Linked DNA regions of Bombyx mori. The protein of the gene in region 1 purifies or fractionates together with the protein of each later gene. This does not show direct contact. Links are inferred from orthologs where the notes say so. Each region holds a gene or a part of one and is shown in the gene's direction. Other genes may lie near its edges.

The links. Proteins that work in one complex are often made in the same cells at the same time.
Region 2: the proteins of DNA-directed RNA polymerase II subunit RPB2 (region 1) and uncharacterized protein LOC101743276 purify together in Homo sapiens (affinity purification with mass spectrometry; 3 studies listed by BioGRID and IntAct, counting the BioPlex papers as one, with this or other methods). This does not show direct contact. The link is inferred for Bombyx mori from reciprocal best matches to the Homo sapiens genes POLR2B and POLR2M.

What each region holds. Positions count from the first base shown.
Region 1 is NC_085110.1:13,223,354-13,234,547, forward strand, and holds the start of DNA-directed RNA polymerase II subunit RPB2, read left to right. Parts: upstream 1-7,929; 5' UTR 7,930-8,069; coding exon 8,070-11,194. UniProt on the Homo sapiens protein: Catalytic core component of RNA polymerase II (Pol II), a DNA-dependent RNA polymerase which synthesizes mRNA precursors and many functional non-coding RNAs using the four ribonucleoside triphosphates as substrates.
Region 2 is NC_085116.1:3,261,835-3,273,028, reverse strand, and holds uncharacterized protein LOC101743276, read left to right. Parts: upstream 1-6,208; 5' UTR 6,209-7,534; coding exon 7,535-8,470; 3' UTR 8,471-8,659; downstream 8,660-11,194. Other genes in the region: RNA polymerase I-specific transcription initiation factor RRN3, read left to right, coding at 1-191; SEC14-like protein 2, read left to right, coding at 9,739-9,801.

The sequences.
Region 1 (11,194 bases):
TTAAATATTGTCTAGTCCGTACATAAACAATAAAAACCTAAATGTCGTTGTTTTTAGTCTTTAATTTTAAAGTAATCTGTTTGTAGATGGGATAGCCTACGGCTCTGTAAATTTGGCCCCCCTTTTTTTAATTTTCGGATTTTTTTAATTTTTAATTATTTGTTCGTCGTTTGATCGTTAATGTTCGAATGTAAAAATTGTTTGTTCGTCTTTTGCTTATTTATAATTAATTAAATAAATGATCACCGTTAAGTGGGCCCCTCTTACTAGATATCTTTATTTTTATCGATTAATTCATTTTAATTCATTTTGATCAATTATCGTTTGTTCGATGACTATTGGTGATTGTTCGATCATAAAAATAATTAAATTCCCAATTATTAATTATTTTATATTAATGTAATACCGAAATACTTCACGAGATGGCGTTACAAAAAATCCCTTCCCAAAACTATAAAACCGTTGTGATTGTCTACTGAATAAATAATATTTATTCGTATAATAAATAGTATAATAAATAATATTTATTCGTAGGTGATTGTTTAAGATGTTATGAATATTTCAGTTTTGATTTCATCAAAATAACTTGAACTTTACTACTGAATTCCGAAAAAAATTCTAATTAAGGCTGAGTTAAGTTCAGCTTTTTATTTAAGCCTCTTACTGTAGTTTTTAAATTACATTTATGCGGATTGACGTTTCAAAGCTTTCAGATTTCAATTTTAAAATCTGAAATAATTAAGAACAGCGTCATCCACCGTTCACATTTGAAACAGAATTTAATTCGGTTTAAATTTGTAAAAGTTGATGTTGATTATTATTACACTAATTAATTGAGCGTTTCATTAGCTTTTAAGCTGAGTGACTATTTATAATATATTTTTATTCTATTGTCTATTTTTGTTAAGTAATAAATGAGCAAAAAATAATACTTAACAAAAAGATATGAAATCCGAAAAAAAACAGTTTCACTGTAAAAAATTGCGCCAAGTCCACGTTTATAAAACTCATCTCAATAACATTTGCACTTTACAAAAAAAATAAGACTTCAATAACTTTCATTCTCTACAAAAAGATGTGAAATACAAAAAATACCAAGAAACCATCATAATGTTGAAAAAAAAAAAATTAAAAAAAAAAATTATCGTACTTGGCGCACGTCATTGAGTACCCCAAATTTTCAGGATAAATGAACATCCTTTCAATGTTTAGAAATTTGTAAGTCGGTCAACCTATGAAATGCATAAATGTAATGAATTATTATTTCATAATAAGTTTTACAGAAGCTAGGTAAAATCGACATCTCATACGTATGTTATTCGAATTTTTTTAATTTCCCGCTCATCATTTATGATTTGAACTAAACACCCTCTTATGTTCGCTTATACAAACTACTTACGAGTCGATACGTATGCATACGTTGGCTTCAAAAAATTTGAAAAATTCTCAAAAATGTTTTTCAATGGGTAGAAAAGAATAATAAAGTTTCAGCTGAATGAATCTAAAGGGGTCGAACGCAAAAGTGGTCGATTTGGCATATAGCCCATATACATATTTGTAATTATTAATACGAGTATTGTATGCGGGAAGTTCAATATGAATTTAGTGATATTCAAATTATATGCATTTCGAACATCTCCTAAAGGATATATGTACAAAAACCGACAATCGGCAGAATCTAACGAGAAGCTTGTTGTTCAAGGTAAGGTCGTCGATAAAATACCTCGTGGACGAAGCTCCATATGCTGGACTGATCAAGTGATAATCCTTACTAAAGCCTCACTTAACAAGTGCTTTTTTTTTCCTATCTAAGCTGATAGTCTTGAGAGACCACTTCAGCGTAACTTTAACAAGTAGGTGAGCTCACGGGGCTCAAACCGGTGTGATGCTAACACAAACCCTAGCAAGATCTACCACCGAATCTAGTTATTACCGAATTTGAAACGCTGAGAAGACTGAGAAGATCCGGCGAGAAACTAACTCAACGGGTTATTTTTTTTATTGCTTAGTTGGATGGACGATCTCTCACAGCCTACCTGGTGTTAAGTGGTTACTGGAGCTCATTGACATATATAACGTAAGAGCGCCACCCTCCTTGAGATATAAGTTCTAAGGTCTCAAGTATAGTTACAACGGCTGCCCCACCCTTCAAGCCGAAACGCATTACTGCTTCACGGCAGAAATAGGCAGGTTTTTAAGTCGTTTTCGTTGCAAACTCGCACTAAGCACACAGGACGGCGGTATCTATCCGTGCGAGCTCACAGAGCCCTCCACCGTTAGTAATTACGTAAATTATATTTTTTGCGAATTTCGTTTAAGTAACACGATATTCCTTCATAATCAAAGTCATTCGTGAGCATGTTCTAAGTAAACCTGGTGGTAGGACCTCTTGTGAGTCCGCGCGGGTGGGTACCACCACCCTGCCTATTTCTGCCGTGAAGCAGTAATGCGTTTCGGTTTGAAGGGTGGGGCAGCCGTTGTAACTATACTTGAGACCTTAGAACTTGTATCTCAAGGTGGGTGGCGCATTTACGTTGTGGATGTCTATGGGCTCCAGTAACCACTTAACACCAGGTGGGCTGTGAGCTCGTCCACCCATCTAAGCAATAAAAAAAAAAAAAAAAAAAATACAGGTTCGACCTATACGTCCAAAAAAAAATTTAGGTCTCTCGTGTCGTGGGGTATCCGAATCACCCCCATGTATGTTCCGCGATTTTTGATAGTTTTCGAGTTATGATATATGTTACCTTTATGCGGGATTTACATTACGAAATTAGTTTCATGCATGTTGAGCTCAGTTTCACGAAAGTAGTTTCGATATATGCGAAAGTAATTTCGTCAAAAAATTAGTGTCGCGAAATCCACAGTATCGCAGTAACCATGGCGCCAACAGCATCAAAGCTATATTCTGTGCTATATGCTATATTCAATGTAGCTAAAGAAATGCTTATATACCTATAAACTTAAAAAAAGACTATCAAGAAAAAAAGTTATTAGATTCGAGGATGATCAACAAGAAGGCATTCAGGTGCAATGAAGTTAGTCTCTGAATTAGCAGATGAAGATCCTGAGAGCTATAAAAACTATTATCGAATGAGTGAATATAATTTTGCTTTTTTACTGTAGGTGTTTCGGGTCCCAGAGACACCCTTGTCGCTGATATTCTATCGCTGATATTTTTATCTGTACTCCATCGTTGGTTTGCCATTTTCAACGCTTGAAGCGCGTCCGAACTAACAATACACACGTCCGCACAGCGCAGGCCCTTTCGCGACATTAGTTTCACGTCGCGTCTACACTATTAGTTGCATGATTTCACCAAAAAATCGCGTAGGGCACGAAACTAATTTCCATGCATGAAATTAATGCATGCATTACGAAAGTATTAAATTACACGTGAAACTGTTGGTAAAACTAATGTCACGAAATTAATTTCACGCCACTAATTTCGTAATGTAAATCGCCTTTATGATTTTTTACCTTTATTTTTATGATTTAGTACCAGCGGCTAGCTCCGGCCGCTAGCTCCGGCCGCTAGCTCCGGCCGCTAGCTCCGGCCGCTAGCTCCGGCCGCTAGCTCCGGCCGCTAGCTCCGGCCGCTAGCTCCGGCCGCTAGCTCCGGCCGCTAGCTCCAGCCGCTTGCACCAGCCACTTGCCCCAACCGCTAGCACCAGCCGCTAGCTCCAGCAACTAGCACCAGCCGCTAGCTCCAGCAACAAGCCCCAGCCGTTAGCGCCAGCATTTAGTACCAGCCGCTTGCACCAGCCGCTTGCGCCAGCCGCTAGCTCCAGCCGCTATCACATGTTGCTAGCACCAGCCACTTGCACCAGCCGCTAGCACCAGCAGCCATTACTGCTTCACGGCAGGGTAGCCAAAAAGTCCGACAGACACTTTGTGTCTGAGCGGGAACGCGAGGAGTGAAGTTGTGTATTTTATGATTGCCCTGTTTCCGGATTCTCTTTCTTTGATTAAATCGCTTTGAAGCTCCCTGCGTTTTTTTAGTATATCTTGGGGGAAATCTTCTTTTATGTAAACCGGTGATGATATCAGTTTTTTCTTATTTTTAAGTAATTTTATTTTTAACCCCATAGTGCTCAATGTTACTACAATGGGTCTCGTGTTTTCCCCTCTTTTTCCAACTCGCCTTACAAATTCAACACTGTTTTCATTGCATTCAATGCTTAAATATTTGTTTATAATTTCTAGCACAATTTGCAACAGATCCTGATATGACCTTTCACCTTCTTCGACTCCGAAAAAGAGCAGATTTCTCTTTCTCTTCAATCTCTCCATGTTATCTGTTTTTTCTGCCGAATTAGAATTAATTGTTGTTCAAGTAACTCGGTCTTTAATTCAAGACTGTGAAATTTTTCATTCATATTATTTATAATGGTATTTTTTATTTCCTCCTTCATATCTAACATATCCGCTTTTTGTTGTTTCATCTCTTCTTGCATGCTTCTTAATATATTTTTAATTTCTTCCATTACTTTTATACCTCAAAGTACTACTAATACAATCTTGTGGATAGTATTGGAACTACGTTGCTTATAGCAGATGTTATCTCCAGTTTATCGAGTTTTATCTTGAGAGTTCAGCTACTCACGCTAGGTGGCGCTAACGTTTTTGTACGAGGTGATTTGTGTGACGATGCGAATAATATTTATTTTAGGTTAAATGCAAAAAATAAATTAAATAGAATCCTTGTGTTCACTATTTAACAATTTAACGATTTTAATGATTATTTATGTCCCCTTCACTGCACTTAACGAGTTTTAGATCATTTACACTTAGAGTAATGGATATAAATGTCAGTTGCGCGTTCCTTGATATTTTTATAGATTTTGTATTGTTTACGCACTCTTTCAATAAGAAAACATTTGTTCCTGTGGTTCTTAGTATTGTTCCTTTATTTATCACTACTTTATCACACTTTAACCACTACTACTATTTATTACTTAGTTAAAAAGCAGACGTTGAAGTGAACGGTGGCACAGTCCGCGAACTACCCTCCAGTCGTTCATAATAAAATTTAAACAATAACATTTAGTACGCATCGTTTCTTCGTTTACTGCGCATCTCTCGTAATCGTGTTACTTTCGTACTACTAGTGGCTGGTGCAAGCGGCTGGTGCAAGCGGCTGGAGCTAGCGGCTGGTGCAAGCGGCTGGTGCAAGCGGCTGGTGCAAGCGGCTGGTGCAAGCGGCTGGTGCAAGCGGCTGGTGCAGGCGGCTGGAGCTAGCCGCTGGTACTAAATCATAAAAATAAAGGTAAAAAATCATAAAGGCGAATTTACATTACGAAATTAGTGGCATGAAATTAAATTGGCATTTGATAAATGAGAGTGAGAGCAACATGTTACATAATTACTATTGTAATAAACCAAATGTACTCGTTTAAACATCACTTACTTTTAACTTCCACAGGTATATGCCACACATGCGGGGCTGGTGTAACTGGTGCTGGGCAAGCTTGTCAAGCTATGGGCAATCTGTACCACACTAATCTTGGGACTATCCCATCTACAAACAGATTACTTTAAAATTAAAGACTAAAAACAACGACATTTAGGTTTTTATTGTTTATGTACGGACTGGACAATATTTAATTTTACTTAATGTTTTGTGTCGAAGACCTGAAACCGAAGACTTGAGATGATAGGAGAGGTGGAACCCGTAAAATTGTAGTTTGCGTAGTGGCGGATAAGATTTGTTGCGGTAAGAAGTTTGCATGGTGGTAAAATGTCTTGTGAGTCTGCACAGGTAGCCGGAGGTGAGACTTCCGCGGTCGCGGCCCACCCAGTCCGCGAGAACCGGGCAGATCGCCTCGACGGTACGGAGGCCGGCCGACGGGTCCGCCAAACGACGAGACCACGCCTCCAGCACGGACTGCCGAGATTGGAGCCCCCGCGCTCCGGCTGCACTTGCGCTAGGGCGCGCCGCCTCGTAGGAGACTGTGAGGTATCCTCGAATAACTCTGACTGCGATCGCGCGCTGCCGGCGTCGCAGCGCGGCGACGTTCTCGTGGGTACGGACGTGGCACTAGACGGGTGCTCTATGGAGTGCCATCGACCGCACGGGTACCATCACCCTGCCTATTTCTGCCGTGAAGCAGTGGTGTATTTCGGTTTGAAGGGTGGGGCAGCGGTTGTAACTATACTGAGACCTTAGAACTTCTATCTCAAGGTGTGTGGTGCGTTTGCGCTGTGGATGTCTAAGGGTTCCAGTAGCCACTTAACACAAGGTGGGCTGTGAGCTCGTCCACACATTAAATCGAAGAGCGTAATCAAACGAAATTAGATACGAAGTTTAAAAGGCCGTTTAAAGTAGTTGAAGTATTGGATGGTGACCGTTACACATTGAAAGCTTTAAATTCAAAACTTACTTACAAATACCCACATGATAGGCTAAGAAAATTGCCAGCATGACACATACCAGTCGAAGTTGATGTAAATGATGATGATGAAGAGCAAGCTTAAATTGTGGTGAAAACTCGAGTAAGGAGTTTCTTGGTATTTTTTTGTATTTCACATCTTTTTGTAGAGAATGAAAGTTATTGAAGTCTTATTTTTTTTGTAAAGTGCAAATGTTATTGAGATGAGTTTTATAAACGTGGACTTGGCGCAATTTTTTACAGTGAAACTGTTTTTGTTCGGATTTCATATCTTTTAGTTAAGTATTATTTTTTGCTCATTTATTACTTAACAAAAATAGACAATAGAATAAAAATATATTACTAGTATATAGTCACTCAGCTTAAAAGCTAATGAAACGCTCAATTAATTAGTGTAATAATAATCAACATCAACTTTTACAAATTTAAACCGAATTAAATTCTGTTTCAAATGTGAACGGTGGATGACGCTGTTCTTAATTATTTCAGATTTTAAAATTGAAATCTGAAAGCTTTGAAACGTCAATCTGCATAAATGTAATTCAAAAACTACAGTAAGAGGCTTAAATAAAAAGCTAAATTTAACTCAGCCTTAATTAAAATTTTTTTCGGAATTTAGTAGTAAAGTTCAAGTTATTTTGATGAAATCAAAACTGAAATATTCATAACATCTTAAACAATCACCTACGAATAAATATTATTTATTATATTATCTATTCAGTAGACAATCACAACGGTTTTATAGTTTTGGGAAGGGATTTTTTGTAACGCCATCTCGTGAAGTATTTCGGTATTACATTAATATAAAATAATTAATAATTGGGAATTTAATTATTTTTATGATCGAACAATCACCAATAGTCATCGAACAAACGATAATTGATCAAAATGAATTAAAATGAATTAATCGATAAAAATAAAGATATCTAGTAAGAGGGGCCCACTTAACGGTGATCATTTATTTAATTAATTATAAATAAACAAAAGACGAACAAACAATTTTTACATTCGAGCATTAACGAACAAACGACGAACAAATAATTAAAAATAAAAAAAATCCGAAAATAAAAAAAGGGGGCCAAATTTACAGAGCCATAACCTACTAACTTAAATATTAAGTGTATGATCTATACCTACGGCACACTGAATTTGGCCCCTCTTTTTTTGATTTTCAAATTTTTTTATTTTTAATTATTTGTCCGTTGTTTGTTCGTTAATGTTCATATGTAAAAAATCTTTGTTCGTCTTTTATTTATTTATAATTAATTAAACAAATGATCACATTAAGTTGGCTCCTTTTACTAGATATCTTTATTTTTATCACTCAGATTAATTAATTTTGATCAATTATCGTTTGTTTGACGACTATTGGTGATTGTTCGATCATAAAAACAATTGAATTCTCAATTATTAATTATTTTATATCTAATAAGCAAACCATCACCTCACGCCAACAAATATAAAAAAATCCAAAATAAAAAAGGGGGCTAAATTCACTGAGCCATTAAGCACATAATATTTGCATGTGTTTAATCTATGATATTTGCTACCATAGATAATAGAGCCTAGGAAAGGCGACGACGACGCATTTGCTTTAATATTTTCCAATTGAAAATACAGAAAGGCCATTAATAGCCTACAGTATATTTTTTAAATACAACACTCGCTTTAGCGAAGATGTATGATACAGAAGATGATCAATACGAAGAGGAAGATGTGGAAATAACACCTGAGCTTTGGCAAGAAGCTTGTTGGATTGTCATCAACGCTTATTTCGATGAAAAAGGTCTAGTGAGACAGCAATTAGATAGCTTCGATGAATTTATTCAAATGTCGGTACAACGTATAGTTGAAGATTCTCCACCCATAGAATTACAAGCAGAAGCACAACATTTCTCTGGTGAGATGGAAACACCACCAAAATATCGTCTTAAATTTGACCAAATTTATTTATCTAAACCTACTCATTGGGAGAAAGATGGAGCTCCATCTCCCATGATGCCCAATGAAGCACGTCTTCGTAATTTAACATATTCGGCACCTTTATATGTTGATATTACAAAAACAATAGAGAAAGAACATGAGGATCCTATTGAAACGCAACATCAGAAAACATTTATTGGCAAGATTCCTATTATGCTTAGATCTACATATTGCTTACTAAACAGTTTGACTGACCGTGACTTGTCAGAATTGAATGAATGCCCCTTAGATCCTGGTGGTTACTTCATTATTAATGGATCAGAAAAAGTACTAATTGCACAGGAAAAAATGGCTACCAATACTGTCTATGTATTCAGCATGAAGGATGGCAAATATGCTTACAAAACAGAAATAAGATCATGTCTGGAACATAGTTCTAGACCGACATCTACATTATGGGTTAATATGATGGCTCGAGGAGGACAAAATATAAAGAAATCTGCTATTGGTCAAAGAATTATGGCAATTGTCCCATATATCAAACAAGACATACCTATAATGATTGTATTCAGAGCTTTAGGTTTTGTTGCTGATAGAGATATATTGGAACACATTATATATGATTTTGATGATCCAGAAATGATGGAAATGGTTAAGCCATCTCTTGATGAGGCTTTTGTCATTCAAGAACAAAATGTAGCACTCAATTTTATTGGAAGCCGAGGAGCACGCCCAGGTGTCACCAAAGAAAGACGTATTAAATATGCTAGAGAAATCTTACAAAAGGAAATGTTGCCACATGTTGGAGTATCAGATTTTTGTGAAACAAAAAAAGCTTATTTTCTAGGCTACATGGTACACAGATTATTATTAGCTGCTTTGGGTCGAAGAGAACTGGATGATAGAGATCATTATGGCAACAAAAGATTAGATTTAGCAGGACCACTTTTGGCTTTTCTATTTAGAGGCTTATTCAAAAATTTACTAAAAGAAGTCCGAATGTATGCTCAAAAATTTATTGATAGAGGAAAAGATTTCAACTTGGAACTTGCTATCAAAACAAAAATCATCACTGATGGTCTTCGTTATTCTTTGGCAACTGGTAATTGGGGTGACCAAAAGAAAGCTCATCAGGCCCGAGCTGGAGTATCTCAAGTGTTGAACAGATTAACTTTTGCATCTACTTTATCCCATTTAAGACGTGTCAATTCTCCAATTGGACGTGATGGTAAACTTGCTAAACCACGTCAATTGCACAATACTTTATGGGGTATGATTTGTCCTGCTGAAACTCCAGAGGGAGCTGCTGTTGGCTTAGTGAAGAATTTAGCATTAATGGCTTATATCTCAGTAGGAAGTCAACCTTCACCAATTTTGGAGTTCTTGGAAGAATGGTCAATGGAAAACTTGGAAGAAATTGCACCATCAGCTATAGCTGATGCCACAAAGATATTTGTGAATGGTTGTTGGGTAGGAATACACAGGGACCCTGAACAGTTGATGGCTACACTACGTAAACTAAGACGTCATATGGACATCATTGTCTCTGAAGTCAGTATGATTAGAGATATAAGAGACAGAGAAATCAGAATCTATACAGATGCAGGTAGAATTTGTAGGCCATTACTTATTGTCAATAATGGTGTCTTATTGTTGAAAAAGAAGCACATAGATGATTTAAAAGAAAAGGACTACAATAACTATGGTTGGCAAAATTTGGTGGCTAGTGGAGTAGTTGAATATATTGATACTTTGGAAGAAGAAACTGTGATGATTGCCATGAGTTTAGATGACTTGAATCAAGTTAAAGAATATGCATATTGTACTACTTATACACATTGTGAGATTCATCCTGCAATGATTCTGGGTGTCTGTGCGTCTATTATTCCATTCCCAGATCATAATCAAAGTCCCAGAAATACTTATCAAAGTGCTATGGGTAAACAAGCTATGGGAGTTTATATCACAAATTTCCATGTTAGAATGGATACACTGGCTCATGTTTTGTATTATCCTCACAAACCCCTGGTTACGACAAGATCTATGGAATACTTACGATTTAGAGAATTGCCAGCAGGAATTAACTCCATTGTTGCTATTCTTTGTTATACCGGATATAACCAAGAAGATAGTGTTATTTTGAATGCATCTGCTGTAGAGAGAGGATTCTTTAGATCCGTATTTTACCGTTCATACAAAGATTCTGAATCTAAAAGAAATGGAGAACAAGAAGAACAGTTTGAAAAACCAACCAGACAGACATGTCAGGGTATGAGGAATGCTCTGTATGACAAATTAGATGATGATGGTATTATTGCTCCTGGTATTAGAGTATCAGGTGATGATGTTGTCATAGGAAAAACTATAACTTTGCCAGAAAATGATGATGAGTTGGAAGGTACAACAAAACGATTTACAAAGCGAGATGCATCCACTTTCTTACGTAATAGTGAAACTGGAATTGTTGACCAAGTAATGTTAACATTAAATAGCGAAGGTTATAAATTTTGTAAAATTCGAGTCAGATCTGTACGCATCCCGCAAATTGGAGATAAGTTTGCTTCACGACATGGTCAAAAAGGAACATGTGGAATTCAATACAGGCAAGAAGATATGCCATTTACTTGCGAAGGTATAACACCAGATATCATTATTAATCCTCACGCTATCCCTTCACGTATGACAATTGGTCACTTGATTGAGTGTATTCAAGGGAAAGTATCTTCTAATAAGGGAGAGATCGGTGATGCAACCCCATTCAATGATGCTGTAAATGTGCAAAAAATATCATCTCTGTTACAAGATTATGGTTACCATCTACGTGGTAATGAAGTCATGTACAATGGGCATACAGGCCGTAAAATTAATGCGCAAGTTTT
Region 2 (11,194 bases), on another chromosome or scaffold:
CGCTGTGCATCGATTACAAAGACTGGTTAAAAGAAGGCGATGACGAAACTCAATACTCAAACATGAAAAAGAAAATGGAGGCAGACGATGACGACTTTTTAATGTCTGTTAGTCCATGTTCTAAACTAGCAAGCTCACTGTCCAATGGAGTATTACCTGGATTTAGAACAAGTGAAAGCATACCATACTAAAATTTATTTATTTATTTTTAAGGAGAAAAGTAAAAATGTACTCTATAAAACTTTAGAAATAAATGAAACTGTCTAATTTACTTTGTATAACTTATTGTGAAGTTTTAGATGCTGCTATCCTGCATCTATTTATGCTTAAAACATGTTATTAGTCAATGTACATACTTTACATTCGTTGATTACTCTGCCTTTTTATTCTATTTAATTGCGTATTGACTGTAAAAAATATAATAAAGTATATTTATGGAATAAGGATTTTCATTTTGAAACAACACTTGTTCATCAATGTAATTTTATTGAGATCACACTACATTCACATCACATAAGCTGCAGGTTCATTGTTTGTGAAATAATATACTGAATTTAACTTAATTCCTATAAATTATGACAAAAAAGATTACAGTTGAGTCTTATGTTTTTTGAGAAATATATAATAAGAAAATTAAAATCGTTAGTTTGTAAAGGATTACAACTGCTGACTAATAAATAATATGGTATTTTTTGATATTATAATTTTAGGGGTTAGAAAATGAAGTGGCTGTTTTAACGTAGTATCTGCCTTGAATGAAAACACATCATGCACGGAAAAAAATTTGTATCTATACAAAAAAAAAAAAAATGCATATATCAAAAATTCTAAACCGAAATTAAGTTAGCTTACAACCAAACAGAATAACTTACTAAATATTCAGACCATAACCAGCTACAGTAATGATTACTACATTTAATTTACATGAAAAAAAAAACAATTCCTTAACTGACTGAAATTTTGTGAACCATTATTTTTAGATATCATTATGTAAAAACTGTCATAAGTATTCGTAAGAATTTTCAACATATTTTTTTTCTATTAAATTTGCAAGATGTACTCAATCTCAAACATCACAACGTAAATATCACCCACCGCCCTTGTCATTAGACTGGTACTAACGGAAAGGTTTCAGATAGATACTAGAATGATCAGATCAGGGTAGTTTAAAGCAGATTTTCAAGATTAGAATTACATAGTTACAAATCAAGCCAATAATAATAAGAGAATTATTAAAAATAACAGTTTTTAACCTGAAAATGTGTTACTTTTACAAATATCTTATAATGAAACCCTTAAAATATGAAATACTGATAAACTAAAATTAAACAAGTAGTTTTATTACTATTCCTAATGGATTATCTCTTCTTATGATATGGGTGTCGTCTTCGAAACGAGCTGACCGTTTTATTTGGAGGTTGCAGGGCTTTATTCTGGTATTGTGTTATTATTGGAGTCTCATTAGCGGCTAATTTATTGATCACAAAGTCATCACCGGGGTTCATATTCTCCATCATCTTGAGTTTAGCCTCTATGGATTGGATGGCTGTCTTTTTGCTGAGTTTAAACTCTGGTTTTGCACCAGCCAACGCCGGTATACCTAGCTCTGGTTTTGGTTTATCTTGATCATCCTGTGAATATTTTTTTAAGTTAATTATTTTCTAAATCCTCATGTCAGAAGCTGTAAGTGCTGATAGTAAATTGTGTGAATGTTTATTCTTTGAGGGCGAGATACAGGTTTAAAGGAACCATTATTAAAGCGAAAACGGCAATTTGTTGCTAATTTGTATCACACTGTGTCTGCAGTCTATTAGTAGCAACACCATCCTACCCATTTTTTCAGCAAAGTAGTTCAGAATTCGGATTTGACTACTAGTTTAACAGATTTTTTATAATTTATTTAAGATTTTGTCTTGAACCATTTATCATACTTGTTTGCCAACCATTTTATTACTTTGTTATTAGTTTATTTATTTATTAGGCACACGATACACATTACAAGCTAAAAAGAAAATATACACAATAAATAACAAGTAAAGAAAAGGGCTTGTTGGTTTTCCCCTGGTGGTAGGACCTCTTGTGAGTCCGCGCGGGTAGGACCACCGCCCTGCTTGTTTCTGCCGTGAAGCAGTAATGCGTTTCGGTTTGAAGGTTGGGGCAGCCGTTCTAACTATACTTGAGACCTTAGAACTTATATCTCAAGGTGGGTGGCGCATTTTACGTTGTAGATGTCTATGGGCTCCAGTAACCACTTAACACCAGGTGGGCTGTGAGCGCGTCCACCCATCTAAGCAATAAAAAAATAAAAATTGTAACAAAAGGCATGCGCGCACAACTAATCAGGACAAATGTGCTAAGTAAACAATGTTCATTACAAACTATAGGACAAGACAGCATGATAACGAAAACCAATCAATTTTTGTAAAGTAACTATTGATTTCATCTTTCATCTCATTAAAAGAGTCATCAAAATAATCTAAATATTGAGAGATTTGAAAATCAAATTTATGAAATTTTGACTAGGTAGTATTTTTAAATACCCGTTTCTAAGTATGTTAAATTTCGCCTCTGGCACATTGCAAATTCATTTATAAAACCACCCAGTATATCATGGTTGCAAATACAAAATTTGCTATCTGCAATTTTTCATGATTGAATCGAGTAGTTCACCAACAAGGTTAGGTCATAAAATAACTACAAAGTATATGCACTACACATAGAACTTAAACAACTTTACAGCATTAATATAATATGTAAAATTGTTACAGTTAATTGATACTTACAGCAGTGTGTTTAGCAAATTTGACACATATCCTTTTGCAGCCTAGTAACTGTCCATTCAATGAGTTCATTGCCTTAACAGCATCTTGTTTCAATTTGTATGTAACAAACGCAAACCCTCTCGGCTGTCCGGCTGCAGGTCCGCTACGATGGAACAGCATGTCGAACTTCTCAATATTCCCATAGACGCGGACCAGTTTCAGTAATTGATACCGGTAATGAACAAAAATTGATGTTTTATTATATTGCCTTTTATTGGTACGATAAAGAAATGGAAAAGAATGAGTATATCAGAGGAAGTGTGAAAGTAGCCCCGGTAAGCAAGAAGTTAAGGAGCGGACGGTTAGCGTGGTATGGATATGTGATGCGTAGAGAGAACGATGTAGTCGTCGTGGCCTAAAGGATAAAACGTCCGGTGCATTCGTGTTGAAACGTTGCACCGGTGTTCGAATCCCGCAGGCGGGTACCAATTTTTCTAATGAAATACGTACTCAACAAAATGTTCACGATTGACTTCCACGGTGAAGGAATAACATCGTGTAATAAAAATGAAACCCGCAAAATTATCATTTGCGTAATTACTGGTGGTAGGACCTCTTCTGAGTCCGCGCGGGTGGGTACCACCACCCTGCCTATTTCTGCCGTGAAGCAGTAATGCGTTTCGGTTTGAAGGGTGGGACAGCCGTTGTAACTATACTTGAGACCTTAGAACTTGTATCTCAAGGTGGGTGGCGCATTTACGTTGTGGATGTCTATGGGCTCCAGTAACCACTTAACACCAGGTGGGCTGTGAGCTCATCCACCCATATAAGCAATAAAAAAAAAAAAAGTGAAGATGCATGTGACTAGAAGATGTATGGAAATGGTAGTGCAAGGTAGAGGGAGGGAGAAGATGTCGACCGAAGAAGACATGGATATGTGTGATTGACGATATGAAAGAGAGAGGAGTGAGTGTTGAGATGACGGCTGATAGAAGAGAATGGAAGAGAAAAATTAGCTGTGCCGTCCTCACCTAGTGGGATAAGGTGGAGGAAAATGAGAAGATAAAACAATGTAACTCTTTTATAATTTTATGTTATGAAATTATATAGAGACATTTATTCTCTTTTTTATAGCTATCTTTGAAAATTACTTTAATATTTTAAACATACTCATTGACTCTCAGGTCTAGATTCCCGATCCATAATCTTCTGTCACAGACTTCATTCTGGTGGACTGGGTCCAAATGTAATGGAACCTGAAAATAAAATACATAGGGTATTGTACAGCATATTTAAATTTGGTTAAACATTATTGTAATGTTTTAAAGAGGGTTTTAAGTCACCATGATAAATAATCTTTTTTTATGAATTCGTTAATACAGTAGCATCAGAGTTGTATTTACTTTTTATTTTATTTTAATGGGTAAACACACTCACTTCACACTTTGTCTCTGCTACTGTGTTGGGAGCATTAACATTGCCTTCTGAGACATTCATTCTCATTCAGGTCTCTGTGCCTTATTTAGCAAGACAGTGGTTTAGCTGGCTTTGCTGACATCTATGAGTAACTTTGACCATTCAACATCAGGTCTCCAGTATGTTTACAGATAAAACAACAAAGTTGGCAAAGCAGCTAGTGACCATGTATTCAATGAAATGACTATAAAGGATTTTAATACAATTTTTTCTCAGTTCATAAATGTTCAAGAATGATTTCCACAATGAATGATTAACAAGTTTTCTGATACTGAACTGATAGCTCATAAGTAAAGAGATAAATGAGCTCACAGCCAACCTGGTATTAAGTGGTGACCAGAGCTCATAGATACAACATGACACCCTTCAAACTGAAAAGCATTACTTCTTGACAAAAAAAATCTTTAAACTGCTACACTACTAATTCAAGTATATTTTTTAAATATATAGCCAATTTCACATATTGGCCATTGAAAAAATTGTCTGCTATGATTCTTTGTTGTCAAAGTGAAACATTCAGTATTTAACCAGATACAGCTTATGGATTCGACTGTCCCTTTCAAAATGCGAAACATGAAAATGTTAGACATTCTACCCATCAAACTGGATTTCCCGACTAAATTGAAAGAGTCACCATAGTACAACCAACCAGTGTATGCTCCCAGCATCCTGTACCTCAAAAAAGGATAAAGTAAGAAAACGTGTGCTATTTATGTTCATTTGGTCATTGTTTTCATTTCAATGATAAAATCATCTATATAGTTTGTGGTACAATTAATTTGAGTCAAATTATTATCATTTAAATGATCTTTATGATACTTTTAGTTTGTAATACTTGGGTACTTGTTAGATGAAAATCAGGTGATAAATGAAAATTTATGCAAAGTATGATTATTTATTTAGAATACCGTTCCTTCCATGTCTCTTGAGTGTTGAATCTGTTCCTTTAAATTACTTTACTCTTAGATCTCTTGGTGTTCTAGAATTCTTGGATCACATAACTTATACACTAATTATTCCTACATAATATTTTAACTAAGCATTGGACTTGCGCATTGTTTATAATTTGTATAATTTCACTCGTGTACATAATATTTTTCTAGATAATTATGATCTAAAATATGTGTTTACTCTATGATCTAAATTCTATGACATATTTAACCACAGATCAGTAAAACGTTTTTTTATTAAAGGGATTTTATGACCTGGTAACTAAGACCTTTAGATCATATCTTATTTTAATTTATATTCATATTTTTATGAAAAATGGTATTATGGAGTGAAATGAAATGAAATGAAGATGATTAATTTGAGACATTAATCAACTGGGATAAAATTAAATGAGATGATATGAGATGAGATATAATCTATGATATATAATATTGGTGGTCATTTACCTTCATTTACTGAGATTTTTTCAGTGGACTTTTTGGAGGATCCCGAGAAGTTACGTCCAGCGGCTTTGTTTCATTTTCCCACATCTGTGCACTTTCACAGATATTAAACAGTTAATAAATCACCGTTATCTTATACCTTCAAACGAGCAATTCTTGTATATATATATATATATATGTATAATCTGAAACTCGGAAACGGCTCCAACGATTTTCATAAAATTTAGTATACAGGGGATTTCGGGGGCGATAAATCGATCTAGCTACGATTTATTTTCAGAAAATTTTGTTTTATTCGTGTTTACAATAATCAACTTTCCCGACATCTATTGGCGAATAATAATACTATTTAAAGACACAACAAGATGGCGTCATCAAAAAAAAAACGAGCAAAGCTCGGTCATCATCTAGTTACACATTTAAACGTGAAGAAATACCAAATAGACAAAATTATACAACTTCACCCCTCGCGTTCCTGCCAAAAAGTCCTCAGTAAAACGTCTTAAATAGCAAGCATAGATAAGACATCAATAAGAAGCAACAACAACTTAGCAAGGCACAGACTACTCACTTTTTATTGTAAGGTAAGCCTGCCGTTTAAATGCCCCCCGAAGCATACACACGAGTGTACGCCCGCGACTCTTTCGCTACTCGCCGTCATTCCTTTTCGAACTTGTTTGTGGGACCCTTTGGAGTATTCATTACCTGATGCTCCAACTGCTGGGCAACACAAAAAAATGTAGTATCTATGCCACTTCACTTATTTTTCATTATGGAAATTGGATTTTTGCGACACTCTTTGAAACCCAAGGTTTTGGATGTGGCAGCCCTAAACCTCACACAAAATGTTTGGCAGAATTGATTTTACTTAATTGATTTAAAGTAAAGATATTTTAAATGCGGAAGGTCATTTTGGAGATCAAACTCAATAGATGCAAATTTCAAAGCAGCAAAGAAGTATTCCGTGTATAAGCTCTATTTCCTTTCATTATCATAGAGGACGATGTCAAGGCACAACCTAATGAGCTTCTCGCCGGATCTTATCAGTGGGTCGCGATCCCGAGATCCGGTAGTAGATTCTGTGAAGCACTGTTTTTGCTAGGGTCATTGATAGCAAACTCTCTTAGTTTAATACCCGTAAGCTCACCTACCCGCCATAGCGTAATTGGAATAGCTCCATAGCGAATAGGTAGGGCCCGCAGAGTCTATCGAGAAACTTGTTGTTCAGGGTAGAGTAAATGGTAAGAGATCTCGTGGACAAATCTCCATGCGCTGGACTGATCAGGTGAAAGACTTTACTAAAACCCCACTTAACGAGTGCGCACGCACTCGTTAAGTGGGGTTTGCAAATTATGGAAAACATCTGTCAAGGCTTTAATAAACAACAATTTCACATGACCACGACTGCTTTGCCAAGAGCAACCGACTATAATGATGATGAGGGGGAAAAGGATTTAATTTAAGTTCATGGCTTTTCGAATTCTTACACAAATCTCACGAAATATACTTTCTCTCCATTTTACCAACGTTATATCTATTTAATTTTGTTGCATTCTACTATACTTCATTTCACTTCACTTCTTGTTTAAATCACAATATGAGTTCGAATTCACAATTTAAGGTTGAATAGGCTATGTTTCCTTTGTCCTAGTTGACAAAATAACAAAAAAGGGCAAAAGTGACAAACAAACAGCTAGTGTTTTCTATTTCCACAAAAAGTTAACCAAATCCAGTATTTTTAGTATTTTTACCTATATAAATCTTTTAGATTCCATGTGAATGTAGTAGTAGTTGTTGCAAATGTAAGTACAAAAAAAGAATTAGTCAATGTTACAGTAATAACAGGAATTAAGATCGTTAAAAAATGTGAATGCGTTAAAACTAATTGAAAATATATAAATAATGAACAAGATAAATAAAAGGATACCTGGTATCTTGCCGCCGCCGCCAAAAACAGAAATCGATGGAAAAATCACCGATCTATCGTTAAAAACTATTCCTGAGTTGCTTGAACTACGAGATAGACAAATTAAGTTATTAAACAATAAAAGTTTTATATCTAAACTAAGTGACAAAGGTGCTAAAATACAGATTTTGTACGATAAAATCTTATCCGAATTAAAAGCGAAGCAAGAGGAAGAAGATGCGTGTCGGATGTTCGAAAATATGAAACTGAATGGAATTGACAAACAATCCGTACAAGAATTAGAATGGACAGGTACAATTAAACAATCCACAGATTTAGATTCAGATGACGACAGTGACCCTGAAGATGTCCTAAAAATCTTGACTCAGAACTCATTCCATGAGAAAAAAATTAAGATTTTAGAACCTGAAAAACTTTCGATAACCCCTGAAGATCTAATCAAGATAGATGAGATCCCCCACGTAAGATATATAGTTAACAAAACGGAACACAACACCAAAGCCAAAGTAACGAGACAGTTTAAGCCACATAAGACCACAAACACAGATGTCCACAACCCAGAAAAGGAAATACAAAGAGGAAAGAACAAATGTAAAAAATGGGAGGTGACTGCTGCCACACCTCCTCCTACAATACATGGGCCAGCAAAAATATTATCCATAGAAGACTCATTAAAACTCCAGCAAGAACATAACTTACGTCTTAAAGAGGTGAATGCATTACATGCAGCTGAGAGGCTGGCTTCAATGGCTGGAGTCAAAATGAGTCAGTTGCCATTGGATTTATCAAGGTTTGGTTCATACCGAGACACCAATAGTGATGATTATGAGTCTGATGGTGAGGGCAGTGACAAAGAAGTTCATGATGAGGAGCCTGAGAAAGGAGGTGTCATATTTACCATAATGAAATAATATACATACTAAGTTCTAGAACCAAGTTCTCTCATGAGAGCTTAGTTAGACTTACGACTTTCATGGCTCATGCCAGTCCTCATTTTTAAGGGATCAAAATAGCAGGAAAACGACTGGATTGTAATTTAACTGTGTACTTACTGATTTAATGTATAATAATAACAATAATAATAAATTTCTGTCTATTTATGTATACTTCATTATTATCCCTTACAATTCATTACTCTGAATCCGATATAAGCTTAAAGCGTAAAGTATGTAATTATTTGATTAAATAAAATTTCGCAACCTCAAAAAACCGTTCTGCTTACAGTAAACACAGTCGGTAGTCTGGCGCTCCGTTTACAACGGGATTTTTGAACGGAACTTGGCGCCAGATTCTACCTAACCTGTGGATAAAGCTTATCAGATTGATGTAAATGCAAGTCGCTCCCTAACATATACACTTATGGTATTTTAGATATACACTTCACCAGAGCTTGATAGACCCAATATGAGGGGAAAATGTGTATAAAGACAACAATCACGATATATATAAAATACACTTTAAGAGTTGTATTGTTAAATTTCAAAAAGGAGCCCTTAAATTACATTTAATTGAACATGTAAAAGGGTAGATGATAAGTACAGTAAGTTACTTATTTATTAATTTAATTAACTACATGCTCATTTCTGTCTATAAATTATGGTAATAAATTAATTCCTTCATTCGTTCCCTTCACACACGATTTAGGGCACAGCTGAGAGTGAAGATATCTCCCAGTGTTGACTTCTATTATGTAGGTAATATGCATTTTAATTAATACTTAGTCGTGCGACTAGCGGTTGCTCGGTTATTTTTATAAAATTCAACTACGCTTTATATAAAACGTAGAGTTCATGTTCGTTCATAGCGAGATACAGTATACTATACTGTATACCTAACTTTATATTGATACATACTTTACATACATATTTCGTGTGGGTCGCCATTACAAAATATAATCATAACTATGCATAACTCTATATAATATAATTATTAAACAAGTACGCTACCATTCGATCAATTGCCACCCACTTACTTGCCAGTACGACACTTGCCTGCCGCAGTGTATTATCTACGACTTGCTGTACGAGTGTACAAGGGTTCTACAAGTTGCGCGTAATTGACAGCCACAGATTAGCACTAAACACAAATATACAACGGCGGCTGAGCTCGCGGCAAACGCACGTTGCGCGTGTTATGTTAATTGGAAACATCACAAAATAAAAATAAACAGTTAGTGAATATGGCTCCTATGTCGAACGCGGTCGTAGGAATTGATGACGATCAACGGTTTGCTCTAATGAAGGTACGACTACACTTAATTCTAAATTAATTATTTCATTCTTATTTTATGTTTGTCGATTTTGAATTACTTAGGCAAAAATTTCTTACGAAGCACCAACTAGTGAACGTTCCGAAAAAAAAAGAGGTATTGTCATGATTTTTTTTTTTTTTTTTTTTTTTTTTTTCTCCCATTTCTTGGCCTGCACGGTTTGTGCGTCAGCCACGCAAAAAGGTTAGGAAGTGTGTTAATGGATTTATTTTTTGGATTTGAATTTGGAACGGAATTTGGAAAAAGGATCAGGTATATATATTATATAAACTAAGTACATAAATGGTTACAATTTTATATTATTATGAAAAATGAAACTAGCTAATATTCTATATACATCAATATTGATATTAGATAAAAGGATAGAAATTGAAGTAGGAAAAGGAATTTTAATGGACAAAAGTGAGGAAATAAAAGCGGAACGGTCATTTCGAGGACAGGCAAAGAATATATGATTAAAATCCCCAACGTCATTGCCACACTCACATATATCGCTAGGCAAAAGGTTAAGCCTTGCCAAATGCAAGGGAATGCATGCATGGCCCAGCCTCATGCGAATAAGGGTCGATGTGATAGCTTTACCAAACGTCAGATTTGAAAACCACGGTTTAGGAGGTATATCCACTTGGATCGTGCTGTAATATCGACCTTTAGTCTGTCTTGAAGAACGCCAAATGTGAGTCCAAGAATTCAATAACTGGAATTTAGGAAGCAGAGCTAAATCACAACAAAAGTTTTTGTACGGAACCAAATCTCCATCATTGACCGCAGCTTTGGCAAGGCTATCGGCCTTGGCATTGCCAAAGATACCCGAGTGCCCCGGAATCCAAGCAAAGGAAACTGTGTAATTTTTGATGCAACATTGATACAATAAATCACGACATGCAATAATCACAGGATGATTATTTCGGTTACTGTTAAAAGGAAAACGTTCCAAGGCTTGGAGGGCACTTTTAGCGTCAGTTAAAATTATTGACTTTTTAAGCTTCATCATTAAAATGTACTCCAGAGACTTCAGAAGACCAAAACATTCTCCAGTAAATACTGAAGTCTCTGGAGGCAATTTTATTTTCTGAACAATGCCAAACTGTTGATGGAAAATGCCGACCCCCACACACTCCTCGGGACCGGGTTTGGAGGAATCGCTAAAAATTAAATGACAATTTTTCCATCGGCTGTCACTGTCAATAATATCAACAAATTTGGCATTGATAGAAAGATCTTGTTTACTTAGGCCGAAATCAAACATAATAGATGGATTTAAAGTTAGGGCATCATAGTTAACACAAAATATTGGAAGGAATTGTGATCTATGTGTAGGAGCTTGAAGAGCTAAGTACTTTTGGAGACTAACAATAAGGCATGG